Nothobranchius furzeri: one gene and its partners. The protein of the gene in region 6 interacts with the protein of the main gene of each other region in a pairwise test. Links are inferred from orthologs where the notes say so. Each region holds a gene or a part of one and is shown on either strand. Other genes may lie near its edges.

Region 1 (4,074 bases), on a different chromosome or scaffold from region 6:
GCGAGCCCACTCACGCAGAATGGACTTCAGTAAAAAGGGGGCGGGGCTTGGGTTTAACGCCCCACCCAATAAAAAGTTCTTCATTGATGTCAATGCAAGTCGATCAATTCGCTTTGATGACTGATCAGGAAGGTGGATGTTTGGATAAACCTTTTTTTTTTATATCAGCGTTGTAAATGAGTTCAGTCTCGTTAGTTTCACTTTAGAGGTGATCGAATGTTGGCTGAGTTGTACAAAATGTAGATGAAACCATCAGTGTCAAAACCGGATTATGTAAAACAATTCAAAGCAACGCCTCTGTTAGTGTGAATATTTTAGTTTTAATGGCTTTGATACATTTTGATGTTTTGAAAAATAAATCTACAAAACCAAAGTTTGCCATTTAATTCTAAATGTGACACATGAATTATGATGTTCAGTAAGTTACAAAATGTTTAATTTGAAGGATTGTAGAAAACAATTGAATAGTTAGGTGCACAAAGCAGGAACTGCAGACAAAGTAGAATCAGTCATTTTAATTTATTGTACTTTTGAAAGTTAAACAGCAAAGTACATTTTCGTAAAAGGCAAGGCTTATGTACGGTTGACTCAGTTATATACAGGAAGGTAACTTAACGTTTCATTATTTTCTACGCTGTAGCTGCATCAAACATTTGGTTTAGCGCTGGGCTTTCCAACAGTGAACAAATGTCTTCATCAGCTTTAAGCCCAAGACAGCAAAACACCAGCACGATTTGTGACGAACCATAAAGCGTAGAGCTCTTCCAGCTACCGTTACTGGCCCTTTCCAAAAATAAAAATCATGTTTAACTTCTGTGTTCTTGGGTCTGCTGGTAAAAAACTAACTGCTATTGTTTACCAGTCAGAAAAGCACAATGAAAGGATGACAAAATGTGCAGCTGTTTGAAACACTTAAACCAGAAGTGGCCCGTGAATCACATGATGCACAGAAAAACAAAAGCTGGAGCAGGAGCTGCTTGAAGGAAGATGGAAGTTGCGTGTACCAAGTGAAGACTGTCCAGGCTGTCACGCTTCCAAATACTCAGGCTGGACTCGAGCCACTTTACGAAACTCTTTGGCGTGAGTCAACGGACACTGCATCTCGCACCAGCTGATGGGAATCATCTGGGCTCCTGGTTCAGGGGAAAATGTGGTAAAAATGTTAGAAACATGCAGAAAAATGGGAAGTTATTTACAAGAAAAGAAAGTAGGGAAAATACGACGGAAAACACCTGTTTTCATGTCAGCAATATTAAAAGGCTCTTACACTTTTTCCAAATGCAAATTTGGTAAATGGCCTGTATTTGATATAGTGCCTTCTAGAGTCCTGGAACCCCCCAATGCGCTTTACAACACAATCAGTCATTCACCCATTCACACGCTGGTGGGGATGCGCTACGATGTAGCCACAGCTGCCCTGGGGCGCACTGACAGAGGCGAGGCTGCCGAGCACTGGCGCCACCGGTCCCTCTGACCACCACCAGCAGGCAAGGGGGGTTAGGTGTCTTGCCCAAGGACACAACGACAGACTGAGTGGGGCTCGAACCTGCGATTACGGGGCGAGCACTTAACCCTTTTGCCACCATGGCCCAATTTAGACCTGTTGAGAATTTTTGAGGCTTTCCAGCTATGTGTTCAAGCTGAAACCATTTCACACATGAAACCAGTACTTTACTTTTAGAAATCTATTTTATTTATTTAAAGGCAGCTTGAATGAATGAATGTTAATGCTACAAGTTCTGCTGAAGCTTTTAATGGCCTACACATCAAAACATGTATGTGAACAAAAAACAATGAACAATTACTTTAAAAGAATTGTTAGAAAAAAATCTAAACATTCAAGAGTAATTTTTTTATTTTATTTTATTTTTTTTTCGAAAAAATTACCATAAGATCACATATGTACATTTAGAAGTGCAGTGAAGAACTTTGCTACAAACCTGCCATATTTAGTCCTATACATGTCTACTGCCCCCTGGTGGCGGCTCTACAGATGGTGAGGGCCAAATTTTTTTTCTTTATTATTGTTATATTTTATTTAACTCTATTATTATATAACATAGGACACAAGATAAAGAAATATCTTTGAATAAAATAGTTCTTAAAAATAGATAATTATTAGTTGATGATTTACAAAATGAATTCAACTACATTTTTAAGAAGCTTAAAGTATTTTTGGCCAATTTTAAGCACTTTTCAAACCTTGAAAATACGATAAGAAATGTTTTCAAGCGCAAATAATTAGCTACTAAATCAGATAGATAATATCTTTGCATTTGGTCGGAAATTGAGAGTAATAATATTTAGCTATGATGAAAATAACACTAGAGAATTAATCAGTAATGCTGTCATTATGGAAGTTAATAATGTTACTTAAGTTCTAATCAGAAATCTTTTCCTCCCACTTTGGACCCCCTGCTGTTCCTGCAGAACCTGAGTGAGCTGGTCAGATCTGAGCAGCTGTTTAGTTTGGAAAGATGAAGTGAAAGAGGTGAGGAACGTACCTGCCTCGCTGTGGGCCACCACCACACCCAGTTCATTCTCAGCTGTTGTTAACAAGTAGTTAGACTGAATGTCACCGAGAGAAATCTGACATCAAAGGTCAAGATTAGTAATCAGTAACGTTCAGACTGAAGCACCGGAGTCAGTAGTAACATGTGAACATTGTTTGCTGTCATTTCTAAGATTCATTCATTCATTTTGTCCCATTCAGCTCAGCAAATTTTACAGGTCCCAATGAAACTGGGTTATGAGCTGAAAATAGCTTTTAAATTTGTTTGGTTTTCTTTCTTGGAGAGCTTGTTGAAGGATACCACTTTAGCCAAAACAATGTCGCCCGTTCTGAAGCTTTTGTATATCTCCACCTGTAAACAAAACAGAACCATCAGTAAGGAAACAGAAGGAGCAAAAATAAGTAAACAATCCAAGTAAAAGTACGAATTCTAGCTCACTTTATCCTTCTCTGTTGCTCGCACGTCTTCTTTCCTGTAGATACGGAGAGAGTGAGCTAAGAGTTTAGGAAAGTTAATCAAACTGGATTTACGTAGTGAGGTTACCTGATGGTCCCTCTGAAGCGGTCCTTCAGCGGTGTGGAACCCACATACAGGATGTGGACTTTGGCAAACCTGGGGTTGGTGCTGGTCACCTTTAAAAGACAAGTTAGTAAAAGGCAAACCTGAACACAAAGTACTGACATCTGTGAATGCACTGGCTGTCCCCGTCTTGAGTTTTAGTGCACGTTTCAGATATGATCATCTGAGTTTAACTGGTGTAAAAAATGATAAAGAGCTTAACTTAAATGTTTCTTTTGGTCATTTGTATGATGTTTATTATGTTGCACTTTGTTTGTTTTTAAGGTGATTTATGAATACATTTTATTTGAAAAGGCACTTTTTTTTCTTGATTTGTGTAAAAAAAAACACCCCCTAAATACATATAATACAAAAATAACTGTCCTTAAAGGGACTTTACAGAGGTTTGATGCTTTTTTTATGCTCGCGATCGCCCCCCTCAGGCCAAAAGCGTAACGGCAGCTTCAATAGTAGGCTCGTGCACGAGGCGTGCATGCTGTACGTGCACACTCCTTAACGAAAATAACAGCTGAGGCAGTCCCTTGTGTGTGTGTGTGTGTGTGTGTGTGGCCCGGAGGACAGAGGATAGGAGAACACGCAGCTAATTAATTAAATAATGTGGTTCTGTACCTTTCTCTTCAGCACAGCCGACAAAGGTTTATGATGGGTCAGTCCTCCTGCATGCTCAGATCATTCCCTTCCCTTGCTTGAAAAATTGTTCCAAAATGAAAGTTGAACCCACATCTTTTTTATCTGTGAATTCAATGCCGTTCGGCGAGTCTCAAATAAAAATTTGGGTATCTTACTGTAAAAAATATACCATTAATGTAAAAAAGAAACTAATTAAACTATGTTTACATCCAGAATCGAACCCGGGTCTTCTGCACGAGAGTCCAACATCTTAATAGGTGAGCTAAAGCGCCAGTGATGTCCTTTGTATCTGTAACGTTTATATCCTTGATGACAGCTGAAACAACGTTCAAAGAACGGTTCGGAGCGAAAA
Region 2 (3,422 bases), on a different chromosome or scaffold from region 6:
AACTTGGTGCTGAGTGTTTTTAGCATAATCATGTGTGTTTATATACATATCTATGGTTTCCAGTTTGTCCAAGGCTGACTCACTAATGCCACAAAGCACTATGGGATTTGTGGTCTTTCCGGCAACATGGGCCAGCAGGCCAGTGTTAATATATGTTTGATCTTGAGGGTCTAAGTTTGACACCTGTGACTTACTGCACTGAAACCTGGGGAACGACACACTCACCCAGTTTTGATTTGACCAAAAACAGCCAGGCTATTATTTGCTGGGATGTAAATATAAAATTGGGTGATCTTTGAAGACTCGAGGGATTTTGTGAAGTGTGTGAAGTCCAGCGAGGAGCACGGCAGAGAAGCTGCTCTGCGGCAGAAATTCTCCCAGTGTGTACTGACTCAAGTCACGAGTAAACCACTGCACTCTGCTGATGCCTCCAGTGTGAAGCGGGCATAACGCCCCCCAATAAACACGTCCACCACAGACATTAAGAATTACTCAGAACATGAACTAAAAAGATACAGTTTATTCAAAACCAGCGAGGGAAACACGTTTGTACAAAAATACACAAATGTTACATGTTTGTCAAGACTTGTTCAGCTTTAACCTGCTTACACCACCGATGCTCGTCTGCATGCAGCACCAGAGTGGAATAAGCCTTAAACCATAGTCTTAATTTCCCTATGTAAAATTAACAAATCCAAATACGTTGTAATTTTCCACTTGGAAGAATGTTGAATCCTGGATACTTGAGTTGAGACAAAAATGGGAAATTCATTGTTATAAATATTAGGAAGAAAGCTGAAGGTATGAGTTCTCAGATTCATCTCTGGTGTCGTTCACTTCGACTTTGTGCTGCTTTTCCCGCCTGATTCGTCTGCTTTTTTCTGCTTTTGTTGCATTATTTCAGCATCCCTTTGGTGGGAAAACAAAACATTAAAATAATTACTTTGACAGAACACAAACGGTGTTTTAAAAACACTCATGCTGCATGACTATGAACATAAGTGGAGTTGTATATAAAAAGCTATACGACAAACACCATTATGGCAGTAAATTAGACCACAGGACTCAATAAGCAAATATTATAGTGGACCTCCGTTCAATGTCGTTTACCTCTGTTTCCGTGCAGCTGCAGAAAGCCCGTCCTCGTTACGCTTTCCTTTAGTCTGTTCCGTTTGCTTTTTGGCACTTTTCTGGCGTGCAAGCTCACGTTGGTTTCCTCCTGCACAACATGAAATAAACACAATGCGGATTCAGTTGTAAAGATGCTCTAAAGCGGCTGTAATGAATCTAACTCGAGAGCAGAGAGCAGCCGACGTGGCAGAGCCGCCGAAGAGCAGCCCAACGCCAGCATTTAGCCGCATCCAGGCAGCCGAGTTTGCATGGACACGATCACGGAGTCAAATACAAAACAAAAGAATTTTAAACACTTCAAACAAAAATTTTATTATCTGTAGCTTTTTCTACTCGATTATTCTTCCGCTGTGTTCTTGCTGCAAGCTACAGGGCTAATACCAACATCCAAACAACCCTTTGACCCACCGATTCGAAGTCGTCTTACATAAGTCGTCCAAAGCACACACATACACTTTAACTTAAAACACCGAACACTTCATGAGTGGATGACGTTTAAAATCTTATTTATTAGCGATGATACTGTCATTTAACAGTAAATACTCCAATGAACCCCGTCTATTTGCTGGAACAGCAAGCTGACCCAGCAACATATATAAACGTTAACGTGATCATGCGCCGATCATCTAAACACTTTAAGACCAAATAAAGATGTCGTTACACACTTGTCATTTTAGCAACCGACGTGTCTTTCGGTCAAATTCCAGATAAGCTCAGCCAAAGGGCCACTGGCTCCCAGCACGTCTCCCCAGTCGCTTTTCCTGCTCTGGTTGCGCCGACAGAAAAAAGTAACTAGTCAGAAACTAGAACATTCCGCCCAAACACACCAACTGCGCGTGCGCACGCTCAGGCACGTCTGTTACGCTCGGTCCTTGTAAAAAGTGACGTACCGGGTGCGTCTTTTGGAATTCTAGGATGTCCAAGGAAGGTCCCGCCTTTCTCGCCACTGATTGGCTAGATGGACTCTACTACGATTGGCTACTTAATGAAGCAGCAAACCGTCTTCCCTTGCTAAGTGCAGACTGTCCTCTTGCCACCAACAGAACACATATTTTGGGGATTTTATTTTGTTTTTTTAAGAAAATAAGAACTTAGCGCCATTCTGCCCTCTTTTGCAAAAGTTTTTTTTGTTTCTTTTATTGAAAAACTGAGAAACGTAAGAAGTGAACTTATAAATCTTATTGCATTTATCACACTGTGGGACTTACTTTATGTCTATGGCTCTAAAGCACTGATGTTATCTTATTACAGCAGGGTGCATAGGAGAAATGTAAGAAATATAATAAAACGGCCCTATTTTACCCAGCCGTGTGCAGCAGGTCTGTTTCTCTTCTAGAATAATGAAAACTGCTGAAAAGGTGTTAGGGTTTAAATCATAATCAGCTTTGAACTAATTTCAATTAAAGATGCAGATTTAAACACATGAAAGACGTGTCCTCACTTTCATCCTGCTTGCTTAACAGCCTCAGCCCGTATTTCCAAATTGTTATCAAAAGGCATGAGCATGAAAATACGCCATGCCGATTACATCACAGATGTTATTGAACAAGTACAGAACACCTGTGTGTGTGCGTGTGTGTGAATAAGTATATTGAACTGCCAGCTATGTCACCAGCAAACAACAGAGAAAGGTTAGATGAACATTTGAGGGCGTGCCTATTACTTTTTTACAGTGTTGGACACACCAGCAGAGACACACTGGGCTAGGGAGTGTGGTGCCAGTCTTCTGGGCAGTGCACCACTCCCTTCTTTTTCCTTCCCATAACTGTGTTCTCTCCAAGCTCTCTTTGGAGGTCGACCAGTGATGAGTGACCGTCTGCCCCCCAGTGAAGTTTTACGGCGAGCAACAGCTGCAGGCTGCACACCGATCTGTGCGCTCACTGCAGACCCTTTCATGGCTGCGGTTTGATCTTACATGCAGCAGCACTCCTCATCCTCCCGAACGTACAGTGCTGAAATCAGACTGCTGTCTGTGTGTTTTTGTAAAGACTGATCAGACGGATGTCATTGGGGCTTTGAAGGATTCATCCTTTTTCATCTTGTCCATAAGGTAATCACACAGGGATCTAAAACTAGGCTCAAAATGCTCAACATCCAACTGACATTGTGATGCTTCTTTTTCTGCTCCAGATTGTTGTGGTGCTGGGGGAGTGGTTGCTTCAGCTTCTTCTTGGGTGCCTATTTAGCGGAGCACAGACAAGGACTGATATCACAAGTTATCACTGTTTGGTTCAATTAGTTTACCTGCCAAAAACGACTTACTTGTACCGAGTGGGTGTGTTCTGCAGTCC
Region 3 (4,039 bases), about 28 Mb from region 6:
ACCTGACGTGACTAACAAAGGCTCTAGAGGGTCCCTCACCTGTTGGTAAACATGATGAAGGCGTAGCCGCGGTTCTCCCCGCTGAACTCCATCATCAGGCGAAACTCGTAGATCTTTCCGGCCCTCTCAAACAGAGGAACCAGCTCGTCCTCGTACATGTCTCTGGGAATCTTCCCCACAAACACCTCGCAGCCACGCGGCGGTGCCGGGCCCTCCCAGCCTGAACCACACGCACACACAGAACCGGGTCAGCTGGATCCCTGAGCGACTTCTAATGGTCCGTCTGGACTCTCCCGCATACCTGGAGGAGGTCCGCCGTACTTCCTCTGCCCATTCTCCTGGATCATGCTGTAGCCCGTCTTCTCCATCAGCGCCAGCAGTGCCACCTCCTTCGCACACGACGTCTTAAAGTTGTCTCTGGCCTCCAGCAGGTCCCCGTCCATGTCCTCATCAGACAATCTCTCACTGTCTAGAGGACAAACACCGACGCATCAGGACCCAGAACCTCCTCATGGCCCACCAGACCATGAACCATCACCTTACGAGTTAAGACAACAGGAACATGAGGACAATCTGAGAGACCGTTTAGGTTAAAGAACATCAATGTTGGGTGGAGTTTATGTCTGTGCTCTGGTTTATTACCATCTAACTAACTAACTAACTAACAACTAACTAACTAACTAACTAACTAACCATCTAACTAACTAACAACTAACTAACAACAACAACTAACTAACTAACTAACCATCTAACTAACTAACTAACAACTAACTAACAACAACAACTAACTAACTAACAACAACTAACAAACAAACAAACAACTAACTAACTAACTAACAAACAAAAAACTAACTAACTAACAACTAACTAACTAACTAACAACTAACAACAACAACTAACTAACTAACAACAACTAACAAACAAACAAACAACTAACTAACTAACTAACTAACTAACAAACAAACAACTAACTAACTAACAACTAACTAACAAACAACTAACTAACAAACAACTAACTAACTAACTAACTAACAAACAACAACTAACTAACTAACAAACAACAACTAACTAACTAACTAACAACTAACTAACAAACAACTAACTAACTAACTAACTAACAAACAACAACTAACTAACTAACAAACAACAACTAACAAACAACTAACTAACTAACTAACAAACAAACAACTAACTAACTAACAAACAAACAACTAACTAACTAACTAACAAACAAACAACTAACTAACAAACAACTAACTAACTAACTAACTAACAAACAACAACTAACTAACTAACAAACAACAACTAACTAACTAACTAACTAACTAACAACTAACTAACAAACAACTAACTAACTAACTAACTAACTAACAAACAACAACTAACTAACTAACAAACAACAACTAACTAACTAACTAACTAACAAACAACAACTAACTAACTAACAAACAACAACTAACTAACTAACTAACTAACAACAACTAACTAACAAACAAACAACTAACTAACTAACAAACAAACAACTAACTAACTAACTAACAAACAACAACTAACTAACAAACAAACAACAACTAACTAACTAACAACAACTAACTAACAAACAAACAAACAACTAACAAACAAACAAACAAACAAACAACTAACTAACTCATTCATTATAAAGGATCATTTAGAGGATGTATGTCTGATAATGTGTGTGTGTGCGTGCGTGCGTGCGTGCGTGCGTGCGTGCGTGTGTGTGTGTGTGTGTGTGTGTGTGTGTGTGTGTGAGTCGTGGAGGATGGCTGCTTATACTGAACCAGGATTCTCTGGAGGTTTCTTCCTGTTAAAAGGGAGTTTTCCTCTCCACTGTCGCTGCATGCTTGCTTAATATGAGGATTGTTGTATAGTCACTGACACTAGTCAGTGACTTGATGCAATTTGCTGGGTTCCTTATATAGGAAACATTATTTCTGATTGGCTTAATGAACTGACCTGAATTGGAATGTTTATTATGTGAAGTGCCTTGAGACGACTCTTGTCGTGATTTGGCGCTATATAAATAAACTTGAATTGAATTGATAAAAGCCACTGGACCTAAAATAAAAACAGTAACTCATTAATGAGTTCATCACTAAGTAGGTGGAGTTTATTCTTATTTATTATTTGGATGAATAAGTGTTATTTGTTTGATGCTGATGAGCTCCCGGAAACATTCACTGTAAATCTGGTTTGGAACATGTTTTTATTTCACTAATAATCAGCTAAATCTATGGAAACAGAAATGTTTATGACCCATTTAATTCTACATGTAGAAAACACAAGTTTCTGTTTGAAATGTCATTAACATGTCATAAACGCTACCAGTTTTGACATAAAAATAATTTTTTTCCTTCATTTTCAAGTTCAGGAAATGAACGTAAGGAGTTAGCTTAGTGAGCTAATGCTAATAGCGCAACCTTTTCCATCCCATAATAATTCCCGCGAGAAAAATCACTAAAATCTAATCCTGTAAACTAACTGCATCAGCAACGAATGAACAATTTAACTTTTTAAATGATAAACCAGCTAGAGTTACGTTAGCTAGCATGCTAGCGGCTCTAGATTAATCTGCATCAAAGTTTCCTTTTAACCGCTAAAATCCTCCCAAACTTCACCAAACCACCGCGTTTGTTTTTAAAACACGTTATAACAGCTGAACTGGACTCTCACCGCCTCGGAGTTGGAGCATTTTTCCTCTAAACGGCTTCAGGATCTCCAGAAGCAACAGTTCGGTCACAGAGTTCAGCTAAAACTCCGCCGGGAAGAGCCGGAGAATCGTTACCTAGCAACAGTCCGAGCCAGGGGCGGGGAGTGACGGGACCCTCCACCAATCAGCGACGAAGTTTGTAACAGGCGGCCCGTGTTCGAATTTTATTTTATTTTATTTTATTTTATTTTATTTTATTTTATTTTATTTTATTTTATTTTATTTTTATTTTATCAAAACATGAAAAAATAAACTAGTTTTCACACAATTAATGTAAATTAAACCAAAATTAATGAATATGTGTCACTTTATGCTAAAACAAATCACAGTTGAATTTTACATTAAATGTAATAAAACATAAACCAAAAAGTAATGGAATATAGTTAAAATAATGAAAATGCAATAAAAAGAATAAAATCAATCAAAATGTACGACATATATGTGAATATGTCGAAACAATATGACAGAAAAACAAAAGGAGTATTGATGCAGAACAAGAGGCAATCCATCACGGTCAATGTGAGAAAGTTTAATTCATTTTCTGACAAACTCACTGAATGAATCCATATCAGATCAGAGTATTTATCTAGTATCGCATTTTAAAAACTGGTTAAACAACATAAAACTGTCATGTTATGAGCTGCAGGCATGAACCATAAAAGCCCGGACTGGATCCGGTTTAAATCTGTTGATATGACAGAAATCATCCTTTTACGAGGCCATCCAGAGGAGGAACGGCAGCAGGAACGCTGGCAGGACCGACCAGGTGTTCACAGCTCTCAGGTAGACCAGCAGGCACATTGAGAGCATCGCCGTTACCTTGGCAACGCGTCGACTCAGCAGCAGCTTCCTCATGGTCTTACAGAACTAGTGGAGACAATCAGAAGCATCCGGGTCAGATGTTGGCGTACAAGTTTAGCTGATTAAGTCTTTATTTTGGGTCCAGGTTCACGAGCTCACCGACACCACGGTCCTCTTTAATCCTCACCTACACCTAGTTATCTAAGGTCGCAGCTGCATGAACACAAGCTCACACTAGGCTCCGAAACTCAGCCTAAACATCAACGTTTTCCTGCAGGAATAAATAAACAACATTTAACTCACGGAGACGATAACCAGACGTGCAGTTCTCCCATCTCACCGCCAGGTGGAGACATTTCCTGTGAATACTGCACTGGCTCGCTGGATTCTTTTATTAACTCCGTTTCTGTTAAAGTAGATCTGATCAATCTGATAAATAAACAAGTATAAAGATGGTTTTCAGAGTCTGGACCTGAATAATTCCATGACTAATCCAGTCGTCACAGGCTG
Region 4 (3,500 bases), on a different chromosome or scaffold from region 6:
GTAAAAGTATTTTAAAATGAATCCTAACATCAACGGGCAGCCAGTGAAGCGCATCCAGGACAGGAGTTATGTGGTCAAACTTGCGCCTGCCCTCTAAAAATCTGGCAGCAGCATTCTGCACCATTTGCAACCTGGCTATTGAGCCCTTGCTCACACCGAATAGAACAGAGTTGCAGTAGTCCAATCGCACCGTAATAAAAGCATGGACCATCGTCTCAAGATCATGACGTGACAGAAATGGTTTGAGCTTTGCCAGCCGACGAAGGTGGAAAAAGGAGGAGGAGATCACTCCATTGATGTGGGTATCAAAACTAAGGGCGCTATCTAGTTTAACACCAAGATTAGTCACCGATGTAGACAGCTGTCCCTTAAATGACCCACAGTCAGTTAGGGAAGAGTCACAATGTATGCTTGGAGCAAACAATATAGCCTCTGTTTTCTGATCATTTAGGCTCAGAAAATTTTCAGTCATCCAGGTCTTGATCTCCCTCAAACAGTTTGTAAGAATAGAAATAGAGAGACCACTTGACGTGTTCAGAGGCAGGTACAGCTGACAATCATCAGCATAAAGATGGAATTGAACTCCAAGCTCACGACAGATGTCACCTAAGGGTAGAATGTAAATAGAAAACAACAGAGGGCCCAATATCGAGCCCTGTGGTACCCCCCAAGGTAGATCAGAGTACTCTGAGGAATACCTTCCCATCCTAACACACATTTTTCTATTTGTCAGGTATGATCTAAACCATTCCAGGGCTAATCCTGAAATCCCGACATAATGATGAAGACGGTGAAGCAGCACTTCATGGTCTATCGTGTCAAAGGCTGCCGTGAGGTCCAGCAGAAGTAGCAACACAGAATTACCGCTATCAGTCGCAAGATAGATGTCATTGAGTACTCTAACCAGAGCAGTCTCCGTGCTGTGCAGAGCTCTGAAGCCAGACTGGAAAGTCTCAAAAATGGCATTCTCGTCCATAAAAACCAAGAGTTGGTGATAAACACATTTCTCTAGCACCTTACTCAAGAGCTCTGGTTGTAGCTAGGTTGCTACCTCCGTTAGCTTAGCTCCCACCTCCGCGTTAGCTTTGGGTTAGTTTCAGGTTAGCTTGTAGCTAGTTCGACCGGGTGTCGTCAGTTGATCCCAGCCTTACAGCCCCACCCTCAGCTCCACCTCTCTTCCCTTTTGTGGAATTGTCTGGGCTTGACAGAACCTGTGACACGGTCAAAATGGCGGTGGTGGCCACCTCCCATTTCTCTTCAAAAATGTGTTATTGAGCTTGTGGAAACCCATTGTCCATATATGTATATGTCGTTGGTACACACACCGGTGCTCACATGGTGCTCTCATAAGTATGGACTTGGGCACGTTCAACACATGTCTTAAGGCTGTCGTTGCCACTAAATGCACTATGATATATTATTTTGTGATTGTTCAGTAAAACAATGATGATTTTATATTTCTTCATTAGGTTGATGCAGTGATGATGGCATGCTCCTGTTGTATTGTTGTGTGTCCCTTTCCTGCAGGTCTAGAAGCAGACTATTGTTCATCATTGATTGTTCTTTTTCGTGGATTGACAGCACACTGAAGTGCTGTGAACAAGAGCTCGGAGTGTCTGTCATAGGTCATAGGTCAGATAGCTTGTTTTGGAGACTTATGTGGCAGTGTTGAGAAAAAGCAGCATTAAAACACTCATTTTTACACTGTGAAGATACTAAAACCATAAACATATCAAGATAAATGCTTCCGTTAGAAACAAAGTGTTTAGTCAATAAGCGGATTTTATTATCAGATTATAACATTATGAAACATTTTCCTCTCAGATGGAGCCACGGACAGAGTGTAAACTTCCTTAATCTTCCTTCTTTTTCTTTGTCTCTGCAGAAACCCACTTGTCGTGGACCGCTGTCTCCTATTTTTCTAACCAACGCTGTTCCTAATGGAGTCAAGAGGAAAGTATGATTTTACTGCCACAGCAGACGATGAGCTGAGCTTTAGGAAGGGTGACATCCTGAAGGTGAGTCTGAATCATCAGGTGTCAGGATTTATGAGCCGATGTGGGTCCTGAATCTGTGTTCCCGCTCAGATCCTTAGTCTGGAGGAAGACTGGTGTAAAGCTGAGATAAGTGGGCAGGAAGGATACATACCCAAGAACTACATCGATCTGCAGCATCCGGGGTGAGATAGACGCACACACACACACACACACACACACACACACACACACACACACACACACACACACACACACACACACACACACACACACACACACACACACACACACACACACACACACACACATTAACTCAGTCCCCAACACAACAACCCACTGCTCGTTGTTCAGGTGGTTTCGGGAGAACATCAGTCGCGTTGCTGCAGAGGACCAGCTGAGGAACAAACCCCTGGGAGACTTCTTGATCCGAGGATCTCAGAGTTCTCCTGGAGAGTTCTCCATCTCCGTCAAGTAGGTCCACTGAGTCTCTGCTCTGATGTGAGCTCAACTTTAGCAACAGGAATCCAGAATCTCCCTGACTGTTGGAGACAGAACTGGGACAAAACCTGAAGCTGGAATCAGACTTCCTATGAAGCTTTTATAAGTTCATCTGGGTCACAAGATGTGAGCGAGAACATATTTCAATGGTGCTAATTTTTTTTATCACTATTTAGTCATGAAGTTTATTTATTAGTTCTCAATTTTATCTCGATTCTTCCTTAACTTGTCTCGTGCTTTTGTGCTTTCTGATTTAGAAGCTTGACTGGGTCAGGTTTCGGATGGGTTTTAGGCTGAGTCCAGATACCTGCACTGATTCTGAGAATATTCCGAGTAGTTCAAACATTTCCAACATTCCTGAACCTCACCGTTAGCGATGTTTACGAGGAAGTTTCCAAAGTGTCTCAAAATGCTGTGGGGTATCTCCAGTGAGTCTCGGGGCGTCGCTCCCTCGTGTTACTGAGGTTTTGCAAATACTGAGAAAAAGACAATTATTGCTTGAAATTAATCAGAGTTGTTGCAGACGTCTGAATCATGTCTCGGTTTAGTTTCTGAGGTAAAGTGTGAGACTTTGGCAGGAGTTGTGGACAAATGGTGAAGAAAAAGAAGCGTAAATGAAGCTCTCTGTAACTGACCTACAGCAGAAACATCTGTCTCAGAGGTTAAATTTCAAGTGCCTGAAGTACCTATTTAATCTGGTCTGGCTTCCGCTGGTAAATAACCAAATAATCTGGATTATGATCGGGACTAAAATACATTTCCTGTTAGAAAGACGAACTTCCTTAGATCATATTTTAGTTTCTGTGTGAAAGTGATTTAATTTCTGTTGGCGTGTTTCTTCTGTAAAACCTGTTCCTGCTCTGGTTTCATCATCAGAAATAATTCATCTTTTACACACATTAGTTTCCCAAAACTCTGCAAGACTTGTTATTAAACTAAATCTAAACAAGACAAATGAAACTGATCAGAGACAAAGTTCTGTCCTCTGAGTAGACGCTTCGGTTG
Region 5 (3,500 bases), on a different chromosome or scaffold from region 6:
TCATTTTTAAAAAGTGTTGAAACTAGCTGAAAATAGTGAAATCACAATGGCATTTTAGATCATTTTGAGCAATTTATGTATGTTTTTAATTCTGGCAAAGGCACAAGTCTCCTGCATAGATAGTAAACGTTCATGTCAATAATAGAAACAAAAAAATGTTCAAATGTGAGAAAGAAGCTGTTGTTTTCCCACTCGTTTACTTATTTATTTGTTTATTTTGGCATCCTCTGTCTTAATCTGGATTTACAGCTGGATCTCAAAGGTTCAGTCAGCATGCAGAAAATAGAAATGTACAATATAGTTAAAGGAAGAAAGAAGGAACAATATTTTATTCAGCACCTCTCAAGATAAAAATAAGAAGGCTCTTCATTTGGACAAAAATGTTTTTTTTAAATATCGTAAAATATGATCACCTCAAGGTTGGACTACTCCAATGCAATTCTGTTTGGCATTTCAAAAGCCGCATTATCTCGCCTTCAGCTGATACAAAATGCGACAGCAAGATTTCTGACCAATACTGGCCGTCGGCAGCACATCACTCCCATTTTAGCAAGACTTCACTGGCTTCCTGTGCACTACCGTATACGTTTTAAAATTTTATTGTTTGTTTTTAAGGCACTGAATGGCTTAGCACCACCCTACATATCCGAGTTACTCACTCCTTATGTGCCAGGCAGGACTCTCCGTTCAGGTGACCTACACCTATTAAAGATTCCCCGTCAACGCTGCAAAACCCGTGGTGAACGAGCTTTTTCTGTCTGCGCTCCAAAACTCTGGAATGATCTCCCGCTGCATATCAGACTCTCCTCCTCCATTGGGGTTTTTAAGTCTCACTTAAAGACTTACTTTTATTCTCTTGCTTTTACTACCTAGCTATTTTATCGATGGTTTATTTACACTGTTCTTTTACTGATTTTATTGACTTCTCATTGTTGGTTCTTTGTGTTTTGCTCTAGTTGTTTTATTCTTTTATATTATTCTTTTAACCTTATATGTTTTTACCCCTGTACAGCACTTTGGTCAGCTCACATGCTGTTTTTAAATGTGCTTTATCAAATAAATGGAATGGAATGGAATGGAATGATCAAAGTAAAAGTTGCGATTAAAAATGTGGAGGAAAGGGAACAAGAAACCGAATAAAAAAAAATAGATAGTTAGTGGATCCCAGGGGAAATGCAGTATGGCTGCAAGAGCAGAATGGAGAAGGAAGTGATGAAAAAGAGAAGAAACAAAATAAAATTTTATGCACAGATTAAAACTTTGCTTATTTTTATATTTTCTCTGTGGTCTTGATGTCAAGTTGTTGTTTTTGTTGTTGTTAGCCTCAAGGGCAACATGCCGATTATCACTTGTAAGTCGCTTTGGACAAAAGCGTCTGCTAAATACATAAACATAAAGTATTTTGCATTTTTCTCTTTACAAAATTGTTTATTAATGGTTTAAGTGAGCAATAACTATTCATTTTTGTCTTTTCTTGTAACCTTTGTAATAAAAATATAGATGCACGTTGAAATTTAAACATTTATGGGGTTTTTTCTCTTGCAGGCAAGGTTTACTACTTTAATCACATCACCAATGCCAGCCAGTGGGAACGTCCAGTGGGAGACGGCCGTGGAGAGCCAGATAAGGTGTTGCAATAACAACAACAATAAACTTTAATTACACAAGTTGGATTTTTTTTCTACTATTTAACAGGAAATGTGACATTTAAAATAAACTTGGCAAAAACAAAACATAAGGAAATTTGTTTTCAGTTGAATACTTCCAAGTTTGTGTTGCTGGTTTAAAGTACCCATCAAAGAGACTGATATGGAGGATCTGTTTTATTCAACAGTTTAGAAAATGCTGAAGTATGTTTTCTGTGACTGAATATGAAATAATCCTGATTAGTTGAATCAGTTTGGCTGCACAATGAGTACGTTTACATGCAGCCAATATCCGGGTTATGATCGGGTTAAGGTCGGCATTCGGGTTTCTGAGTTGTTCAGAATAACCCGTTTACAAGCACGAGTTACCCCTAACTTGCATAACCCGATGTAAATGCGGACGTTGGGGCAGCGTCAGGACGTGTGGACTACGTCCAGATGCAATATGCATCATTTCCGGTTCTTCTTGTTCTGGTATCCGTGAAAACAACAAAATTTTTCCCAGTTCGGAAGAGATAGCGACCGTGTTTGTTTGCGCTTTAGTTTCCTCGTCACTCAAAGTGTGGTGCTGTGCCACGACTCGCCATGTTGCTCCCAACTTGTTTACTTCTGGTGTTCTGGCGCATACAAGACGTCTCGCTACTCAAAAGACCAAGATTCCTTGCGAACAGAGCATGCGCAGAACACACGCTTTGATGGGGATATCCCGGTATGCATTTACACGACCAAACATTCGGGTTAGAAAAGGGTTACCCCAGGTGTAGTAACCGGGTTTTTAAAAACCCGGTTATGAGCATATCCGGGTTTCTGGTGGTGTTTACAAGGACCTGCGGAACCGGGTTATTGTGAATATTCGGGTTTTAAAAGGGTTACTGGCTGCATGTAAACGCACTGAATAACTGACTTTGACAAGACAGGCTGTTTATGGAAAAATGATGCATAAACTTTTCAGTCATCTTCTATAACTGCTTCTTTCAAAATGCTTTTGATTTCATGTGTTCAGTGCTTAATGCTTAGTATGAAAAATAAAATGGATCCTTAATGGGTCAGGTGATTGATGATTAGCTCTTTCGATGAAAGTTCTCGGCCATTTTTGTGTTTTTCTTACAGGTCCGCTGCTCTCACCTCCTGGTGAAACATAATCAGTCGCGTCGTCCATCTTCTTGGCGGGAACAAAATATTACACGAACTAAAGATGAGGCCTTGGAGTTCATTCAGAGTAAGTTAGACCAAGCAGAAGAGGAACGGAGGTGTCACTCTGCAGAAGTCTGATCGTTTCATGTCCTTTTTTCCTGCTCAGAGTACATAGAACAGATCAAGTCTGGACATGAATCGTTTGAGTCCTTAGCTTCACAGTTCAGCGACTGCAGCTCAGCCAAGAACGGTGGTGATCTCGGACTGTTTGGCAGAGGTATTAAAACATCACGATCTGGGTCGGACTATTCAGTTTAGTTCTCTGTTTAGATTTGTAGCCATTCGGATCAGTTGGACTTTGTTCCCAGGATAAATGTTTGTGTAGATTTTTATTATTTTTTTAAACATCGAGTGTGTGTGAGAGCAAGGGACAGGTTCAACACTTAACTTGGTTATTTACTAAAACCAACACCTTCTCCCGGTGTTATAGTTTTGCTTTTAACTGTAATACCCCAAAAAGTTTTCCTCTAATAAGTCTGAAGTAACAATAAAATCAAAGTGAAGATTTTTCTGAAAGTCTTAATATAACTGTCTGTAGATGAAAGAAACTGGTTTATAGAGACCAAGATGTTTTGGAAGTCTTATTTGTTTCAGATTGTAAACTTAAAATAATCAGAAAACACAGCTTTTTGTGTGGAAAAATAAAAACTCATTTATAAC
Region 6 (3,500 bases):
AGAAGACCGGCAGGGCAGAGTCTCAGCTCAGATCAGGACAGAACCGGAAATTCTCCACAGTTCACCGTCCTTGTAGAGCAGCTGAGTACACCTCGTGGAGTTTTGTTATTATGAGGAACCAGAAAATGATGGAATGAGGCATCAGAGAGTTATAAAATCTTTCCAGCGGGTAAAAAAAAAGCACATTCACCTGCTCTGTGTGATGTTGGGACATTGGATTACAGAATCAAGTAGTTTTTTTTTACTATACCACAGATTATTATGGCCAAAAATCAGCAAACGTGAGACAGAATTTACGCTTTTAACTTCATGAGATTAGCTTAGTTTGTTTTGCTGCTGAGTTCCGGGACTGTTGCAGGTAGAGTGATGGTGCTTATATTGTTGCAAAGAGGAGAAACTGGGCTTTAATTTAAATGGCTGCTTCTGAGGACAGGATCATGTCTTATTGTTGCTACTGTGTGTTTTTCTCAATATGTGTATTTAGCTACTTTTCAGCCTTCCTTTTTATTGTCATTGCTGAGGTAGAAAACATGGAATCTATCATAAGAATGGTAAACTGGCATCCCCTAGTGGTGATATGTGGATATCGCATCTAACAGATGGCATTTCTGTGCCACACCCAAAATAAAATTCAGCCGCCACTGCTGATTATGTTCAATTGGAATGTTTGCTTTGCAAAGTGCCTTGATGGCGCTATATAAATTACTGAATTGAATCTGTAGCTGTGTTTCTAGATTATGAGGTGTGAATAAGTAACTATTAGATTTAGTTGGATTACTATTTTATTTTATGAATTGAATTAAAAAAACATTTACAACAAGTTAGTTTTTTAGAATTGGGTTTACATTACGTTTTAAAAGTACTGTTTAATTTCTTCTAAAAATCTTAAAATTGTTCCTTGTTAGGGCTCTAAAAGGCTTTTTTATCTCAAGGGGCAGTCATTTTTTCAAATACATGAAGTCAACGCGGAAGTGACAAATATTGCAGTTCAACCCTCATCTGGTAGGTGCTGGAACAAAAACAGAGAAATCCTCATTGACTCCCATGTTAAAAATGCCAACTTCACAGCAGAAATAAACATGTTTACCGCCTGGTTCATAAACCCATTTTAGGTTTAATAGATCCAGTTTACACTCATGGGTGAATTTTTTTGTCACTCTTCCATTTTAGGTGTAATTAAACGCTTGAAATTATAAATAATTACATTTGATTGACAGGTAGCGTGAGCATCAGAGCTAGCGCATAGCACTGTTTGCTCAAAGATGGGTTGAACTATAACGTGTTGTTGAGGCTGGCTGGGTAACGAAACATGAGCAAGGTAAGTTGACCGAGGCTAGCTAGCGGAGGCTTCCGCGCTTCGCTGGTTACACCATGGTCAAAGATCTGCTAGGTCGCCGCTGCAGAAGAGGTTTGCTGAGTTTCAGTAACATGCCCATCCCTTTAAAAGTGACGGACCGACAATCAGAGATCTGATAATCTGTTGTTCCATCCTCCCGGAGACAGCCCAACAGGGAGGGTACCCGGCTTCTCCGATATCCTGGCTGTTCCTTTCTCCTGAGGGAGCTAAGCCGTGCTGCCACCTGGCTTTCTGGCATCCTCTACTGATCGCAGAAAAACAGCAAGGGAAGTGACACCTACAACATAACGTAGGCGAAAATAAAAACAAAGCTTTGCTACTCTGTGTAGATAAGAACCAAAAATAATGGAGCGGGATCAGAGGGCTGACTGGGTGGTGGTGAAGGAGCAGCGACGGCTGGTAATGGGGAACAGGTGGTGTTGGTTACCTGAGCGTGGAGCGAGGAGGGGTAGGTGAAAGCGGGTGGAAGGGCTGGCGACAGCTCTGCCGGGTACAGCGGGTATGACGCCCACACATCTGGGCTGCTGGGATATAGAGCAGGCACTGTGAGCTCATCTGTGGAAAGAAGAGGAGTGGAGTGAGGAGAGTGGCAAGTGAATGGGTGGGTGGATAGAGAGGCAGGGTGGAGGTGGCAGTGATGGTGGTGATTGTGGAGGTGCGCACTGGGAGGGACTATTAAGTATCTGAAGTTGAATCCTCTTATCGTGATTCTTTAAACCAAAGCCCAAAAATGTCTGATCAGCTGACAGCAAGCCTGTAAAGATTCCTGCTCATGTTTCCCTCATTGTCTTTTTACGATAAAAGCATTAAAGTCATGATAAAGATGAGTAAAAACATTTAGCTGAAGAAGCTAAAACATCCTGCCTTTCCCAATAGAGTACTGCTCTGAAGCCCAAACCAGTTTCCTGTAAGCCCATGTCCCCACACACACCAGTAGTGCAGGGAGAGCTACCCTCCAGTAAACCCAGTTAGGAAAAGCTGTGTGACCTTGTATTTTCCAGAGATAAATATCAAAGAAAAATAAACTATTTTTTGTAATTATTGTTAACAAAATATAAAGAAGTAGGAATGTTTAGTATATTGTTATGATATCCATGCATAATGTGTGTATGATACAATAAGATAAGCTATTTAATATCACCAAAACATAAATATGTTGCTATGTTTTGACTATCTTAAATTTGTTGTAAAATGTATGCCCTGAATTTAACCGCTGGTCTACTTTAGAGTCTGTAGCTCATAGGATGAATAAAAGACCTTACAATAATTATTGTTAGAAATGTGCTTAAAGTGTTCATTTTAATCTTTTGCTTTCCAAAATTAAGCTAGGTGCTGTGACCGGTGCGTTTGCACCTCCAGTTACACCCAGCTGAGATGGTTGTCATGGTTACATAGCAGTATTGCAACTTACCTAGATGGGGATACTGATCAATAACTTGTTAGACCATTAAAATATTTTTAAACTAGAGTTAGCTAATGATGCTAGCAATAACTTGGTGGCTTGCAACTGCTGTGGTTGGATAGCCTAGCGCTCTAGACAAACTGTAGCGACAACAAAAACGTTTGCTCTGCAGGTTGGTTTGGCCACGCTCCATTGTAGCTTCAGCAAGCCTACCATTGGCTTGGTGTAGTGTAGATTCGGCCAATCACAACACTCTACAGCTTAGATGACCACTGCCCAGCAACGGTGCTCATTTGAAATGGCTTTGGCATCAACTTTGTATGATTTAGACTTGGGTTCCTTTTTGAGACATGAGCAGAAATATATTTCTTCTTCTTCTACGGTGTATGGCGGACGGCCTCGTTGTCTGATTTATGCTGCTATGAATCCATCATGTTGTTTGTTGCTCTGATTGGTCCTAGCGCTGTCCAATTGCATGCAGACAGTTTGAAAGAAAACAGTAGTTTCTGCCCCATGACTGAGCTGCATATGGGTCATGGCCATACTATACATTTACAAATATAGTACAGCTTGCCAAGCTAGTATTTGGATGGCTATTGAGTCAAATTAAAAGCTTACTTCAGTCTGACTTGTAATTTCCCAAATTTCTTCAATCTTTGTTGGAAAAAACATCTTTGTGACTCTAATTTGCTTACCTTCAACGCATTAACTGAAAGCTTTACAGGCTAGCAGCAGCAGCTA
Region 7 (3,967 bases), on a different chromosome or scaffold from region 6:
TTGACAATTTTTCTCCTTCATAAATGAAATAATTATTTAAAAACAGCATTTTTTTTATCTACTCTGGTTATGTTGGTGTTATGCTGATTTGTTTACTGATCAGAAATATTTTAAAAACAGAAAGTCGGCAAATCCGGCGTGACGAAGCTTTTTGGGTTTTACAAAACTATTACTTCACAGATCATCAAAAAGTTAATGCAAGAATAAGCAGACATCTACTATAATTAGTACAAAAACGCGTCGTGCAAGGGTGGAACATTAAACATGAATAACATTCAAAAATGTAGAAAATTAGAATTAACTCAGGATTATTAACATTAGGGATGCAAGAAAATATCGATATGGCAATATATCGTGATATTTTTTTCCAGCAATATTATATCGATATTCAAAAGCCGTGTATCGGAAATATCGATATGACAATATATCGTGATTTTTTCCCCTGTAAATATTACATTGAAATTCAAAAGCCGTGTATCTAATTCTTGAAAGAATTTACATGCAAACATTTGTGTATTTTCTTTTCGTTTTGTGCAATTCAATCGCCACCCGCTAGTTGGCAGCAGTGTGCAACGGGTTTTGTTTCCACCATTGAAATGTAAATCCCTCCATCATGGTTCAGATACCTCATGTTAAACATGTTATATATCAGTTTGGACTGTTTATTGAACATTCTTACAATAAATTCTGTAAAAAAAAAAATTGCTTGTAACGTCTGACTGAATGTATCGCAATATATCGTGATATATCGTATCGTCTCCCCTGTATGGTGATCGTATCGTATCGCCAGAATTTCAAAAATACACATCCCTGATTAATATGCAGTGTGGAGGAAACTGAGACCCCAGGACTGAGAGTGAGCTACATATCCATTGCACCGCTTAAGCTAGTCGTTTGACTTTGGGAGCTGCTCTCTGTGCCATTAGGAATGAGAAGAAGGAAGATCAGATGACAAAGATGGAAATGAGGGGAAGTGAGCCAAAACAAACACACCACTGATGTGTTAGAGCTCCGGACCTCCTGTTTGACAGGATGGGTCAGTGAGGAGACAGACAGGAAGGACAGAGAGGGCGGGGGGGCTGGAGGACATCCTTCAGTCCCCCGCTGTGGTTTAATGTGTCACACTCACCTTAAACCATTAACGCTGGTGGAGCTGCCCAGGTGTGGCGCAGGTATGTGACTAGCAGAGGCAAGTGGGGGCCAGGGGCTGCCCCAGGACATCCCCCCCACAGAGAGGGGTCTCCTGGGATACGGCGAGTAAACAGAAGTCGGGTGAGCGGCAGCGACCCACCCCATCCCCTGGAGGCTGGGTCGGTTCAGACTCCCCGAGGAAAAGGAATGGCGTGAGCGGCTGGGAATGGGTCCGGTGCTGCTGTGGCTCAAACACTGCTGGCAGGAGCAGGCAGGGGCTGAGGGGATGGCAGGGGGGCCGGAGGAGGCCAACGGGTAGGGGAGGTTGCACTGTCGCCGCACCTGGCGCCTGAAGCCTGTGGATTTGTTCACCTGGGCCAGAGAGGTGAGATCCACTATGTAATTGTACCCATGCGGGCCCAGGTCGGCCGTGCCCTGGCGGGCCTGGTAGCTGTGCTCTAGAAGGATGGAGGTCCGGGTCTCGTACGGAGTCCAACCTCCTTCATCGTTGACCCATTCCCAGTAGACACCGCTGCCGAGGCCTGAAGACTGGGCGAACAGGGAGCGCCGCACTGACCGGGTCGTCCCTGGAAAGTAAACAACAAACCCTTTAGTGTGTATTTGTGAGTAAAGCATCTTAAACCAACATTACCTGGTCAAGACCCAAGACTGGCACCTTCATCAACAGTAACTGTTCTTTTCATGTATTTCCCACATTATTCACCCATTTTATACTTCAACGTTTGTACTCGAAGATGACTTTACATCTATTTTCATATTTTTAATGTTTTTAAGCCCCTTTCTTGTGTGGTTTTTGTATAAAACACACGTTTCAAAGCCATGTCAGGTAAAAGTCCTGAGTTATTCAACATCCTCCCACATGACGCTCTAACAGCTCAGTCATTTAACTAAGTATTTGCACGGTTTAATCATTCAAACCAACATGATTAAGCTGTCCAGCTCTAGGACGAGTAATGAGAACGATCCTGATGTTTTCACTGAGAATGAAGCCCAGAAACATGACTCGTATTTCCTCCAGCTGATGTAAAGCGAAACCAGCTAGGCCGGTCACTGTGACGATACGAGGAAACGCGTTTATTATTGCGGTTATTAAAGGAAGAGGTCGTGCTCACCTGTGTCCTGCCGGAACTGCTTCAGGCTCGGTATGTCAATGAGGTAGGGCGACAGACTGGGGTCTGACTGTCCGAGGCAGATGCTCGTCGAGCCGGCTCCTCCGCCTCCTCTGGGCCCGCGCCGGGACACACAACGCTCGATGTAGGCGCTGACTTGGCCGCTGTAAGGCCGCCAATAGCCCTGGTCGTCCTGCCATTCCCACACCGCTATCATGGGCTGGGATGGTCCAACGGAACCGGACGGCAAAACCGGCAGCGAGGGCCCGTTTCTGGAGCCGTTCACCCGGGCGCAGGAACCAGACACAATCGCCATGTTATTCGCTAACAACACAACTGGTTAGCTGATTGTGGCTACGACGAAGACGCAGCGACTAGCTAGCTAGGCTCGTTAAAAACTCCATTCCGAAAGTGTGCACGCGCCTACAAGGAAGTTCCGAGGCGAGGCTCGAACCCAACACGACCGAGACAAACATTCGGGTTCATGTTGACAAAGCTGTTGCGTTCAGAAAGACCAAAGGCGGCCGAGTGGTGACAACATCACCATGGAGCCTTCCAGTCTGGACCGCTGCCTTCAAGGCCCGTCGGGAATAGCAGTACTCAGCAGACGTGCCTCGGAAACGCTGGTCTATGGGAAACAGCTTCCTCATTCACCCGATCTCCTTTTACACATTAATTCATTTATTCCAGCAGATTGTGATTTTTCTGCACCAGCTGGATGAAAATTTCGTGAAAATTAATTTCGTTAAAGATTAATAACTTTATTTTAACCTTTAAAGCAAACTCAAGCAAAACATTTAAAGCAAACTAGTAAACTTGTGCATCTTTGAAAATCCAGCCCAAGTTAGATCAAATATATATTTTAATGTTAGCATTTTTGCTTTACTATTTAATTAATTGACGCTTTATTCATACTAGTAAACTTTGAATGATTTGTAAAAACAGAGGCATTTGAATGCAACACAGAAGTTGAAACAAAAGCAAAACAAGCGCCCCCTAGTGACTGGATCCAATACGTTTTTAAAGGGAGATTGGGCAGTTTAGGCTTGCTTTTAGCACCCCCTAGTGTCCGTTTGTAGAAAGAAAGCAAAACCAATCTGTGCGTTTGTCTTTTCAACACCTCAAGCCTAATTTATACTTCAGCTCTGCGATGGAGAGACATACTCGCATTGACAGAGACATTTTGCTTTCAAATTTCTCCATCAGCTAGGGAGTGTTGCAAAACAATTTCCCGCCAAGATAACCGAGAGCGTAGTGCTATTCTGAGGGATCCTGCTACCATTACAGTCACGTAGCCGGTCCACGATGGTATTGTGTTTACATTGTTTTAATGTATTCCAGAGACTTTTTGACACGGACAGATTTGTCCCTCATTGATCTTCACCTCTTTATGCGATCAGTACCTCTAAACCCACGTTTATCATCTTTTCTGTCCACGAATAAAACGCTTGCTGCATATCTTTGCTCTCCTTCAGTCACAGGTGAATAAAAGTTCATATTTTCAGACTTTCTTCGATGCGTTTTTCAACCTGTTCTGTTTTTGCCGCTATCTTTTGACCTTTTGAAGAGGCAAAGACGGTGCTGTTGACCAATAAAAACAAGAAGCAGCCTCCTGACCAATCACAAGCTTGCGCTCTCCGTCTCTTTCAATGGACAGTTAAAATTTGGGGCGTGTCTCCATCAGCCTCTGCAAGCCTGTCAAAGCG

Evidence for each region.
Region 1: the proteins of RNA-binding protein with multiple splicing (region 6) and exosc1 interact in a two-hybrid assay, tested with the Homo sapiens proteins (2 studies listed by BioGRID). The link is inferred for Nothobranchius furzeri from reciprocal best matches to the Homo sapiens genes RBPMS and EXOSC1.
Region 2: the proteins of RNA-binding protein with multiple splicing (region 6) and small EDRK-rich factor 2 interact in a two-hybrid assay, tested with the Homo sapiens proteins (2 studies listed by BioGRID and IntAct). The two-hybrid records come from large-scale screens. The link is inferred for Nothobranchius furzeri from reciprocal best matches to the Homo sapiens genes RBPMS and SERF2.
Region 3: the proteins of RNA-binding protein with multiple splicing (region 6) and rbm46 interact in a two-hybrid assay, tested with the Homo sapiens proteins (2 studies listed by BioGRID and IntAct). The two-hybrid records come from large-scale screens. The link is inferred for Nothobranchius furzeri from reciprocal best matches to the Homo sapiens genes RBPMS and RBM46.
Region 4: the proteins of RNA-binding protein with multiple splicing (region 6) and grap2a interact in a two-hybrid assay, tested with the Homo sapiens proteins (2 studies listed by BioGRID and IntAct). The two-hybrid records come from large-scale screens. The link is inferred for Nothobranchius furzeri from reciprocal best matches to the Homo sapiens genes RBPMS and GRAP2.
Region 5: the proteins of RNA-binding protein with multiple splicing (region 6) and pin1 interact in binary tests that used the Homo sapiens proteins (3 or more experiments, as listed by UniProt). The two-hybrid records come from large-scale screens. The link is inferred for Nothobranchius furzeri from reciprocal best matches to the Homo sapiens genes RBPMS and PIN1.
Region 7: the proteins of RNA-binding protein with multiple splicing (region 6) and dtx2 interact in binary tests that used the Homo sapiens proteins (3 or more experiments, as listed by UniProt). The two-hybrid records come from large-scale screens. The link is inferred for Nothobranchius furzeri from reciprocal best matches to the Homo sapiens genes RBPMS and DTX2.

Annotation. Positions count from the first base shown.
Region 1 is NC_091746.1:82,291,581-82,295,654, forward strand, and holds the end of exosc1 (exosome complex component CSL4), read right to left. Parts: intron 3,146-4,074; coding exon 3,057-3,145; intron 2,986-3,056; coding exon 2,952-2,985; intron 2,865-2,951; coding exon 2,814-2,864; intron 2,590-2,813; coding exon 2,505-2,589; intron 1,134-2,504; coding exon 1,027-1,133; 3' UTR 501-1,026; downstream 1-500. Other genes in the region: knop1 (lysine-rich nucleolar protein 1), read left to right, coding at 1-124. UniProt on the Homo sapiens protein: Non-catalytic component of the RNA exosome complex which has 3'->5' exoribonuclease activity and participates in a multitude of cellular RNA processing and degradation events.
Region 2 is NC_091749.1:75,953,531-75,956,952, reverse strand, and holds small EDRK-rich factor 2, read right to left. Parts: upstream 1,955-3,422; 5' UTR 1,804-1,954; coding exon 1,797-1,803; intron 1,220-1,796; coding exon 1,111-1,219; intron 910-1,110; coding exon 834-909; 3' UTR 501-833; downstream 1-500. Other genes in the region: uncharacterized protein, read right to left, coding at 3,125-3,309, 3,394-3,422. UniProt on the Homo sapiens protein: Positive regulator of amyloid protein aggregation and proteotoxicity. Induces conformational changes in amyloid proteins, such as HTT, driving them into compact formations preceding the formation of aggregates.
Region 3 is NC_091742.1:95,090,686-95,094,724, forward strand, and holds the start of rbm46 (probable RNA-binding protein 46), read right to left. Parts: upstream 2,801-4,039; 5' UTR 2,711-2,800; coding exon 2,692-2,710; intron 470-2,691; coding exon 302-469; intron 221-301; coding exon 40-220; intron 1-39. Other genes in the region: lratb.2 (lecithin retinol acyltransferase b, tandem duplicate 2), read right to left, coding at 3,440-3,595. UniProt on the Homo sapiens protein: Essential for male and female fertility, playing a crucial role in regulating germ cell development by ensuring the proper progression of meiosis prophase I.
Region 4 is NC_091745.1:28,876,855-28,880,354, forward strand, and holds part of grap2a (GRB2-related adapter protein 2a), read left to right. Parts: intron 1-1,885; 5' UTR 1,886-1,940; coding exon 1,941-2,018; intron 2,019-2,087; coding exon 2,088-2,179; intron 2,180-2,348; coding exon 2,349-2,468; intron 2,469-3,500. UniProt on the Homo sapiens protein: Interacts with SLP-76 to regulate NF-AT activation. Binds to tyrosine-phosphorylated shc.
Region 5 is NC_091744.1:9,163,095-9,166,594, forward strand, and holds part of pin1 (peptidyl-prolyl cis-trans isomerase NIMA-interacting 1), read left to right. Parts: intron 1-1,545; coding exon 1,546-1,628; intron 1,629-2,756; coding exon 2,757-2,865; intron 2,866-2,946; coding exon 2,947-3,057; intron 3,058-3,500. UniProt on the Homo sapiens protein: Peptidyl-prolyl cis/trans isomerase (PPIase) that binds to and isomerizes specific phosphorylated Ser/Thr-Pro (pSer/Thr-Pro) motifs.
Region 6 is NC_091742.1:66,831,331-66,834,830, reverse strand, and holds part of RNA-binding protein with multiple splicing, read right to left. Parts: intron 1,913-3,500; coding exon 1,785-1,912; intron 1-1,784.
Region 7 is NC_091750.1:69,048,823-69,052,789, reverse strand, and holds the start of dtx2 (probable E3 ubiquitin-protein ligase DTX2), read right to left. Parts: upstream 2,801-3,967; 5' UTR 2,578-2,800; coding exon 2,265-2,577; intron 1,719-2,264; coding exon 1,130-1,718; intron 1-1,129. UniProt on the Homo sapiens protein: Regulator of Notch signaling, a signaling pathway involved in cell-cell communications that regulates a broad spectrum of cell-fate determinations.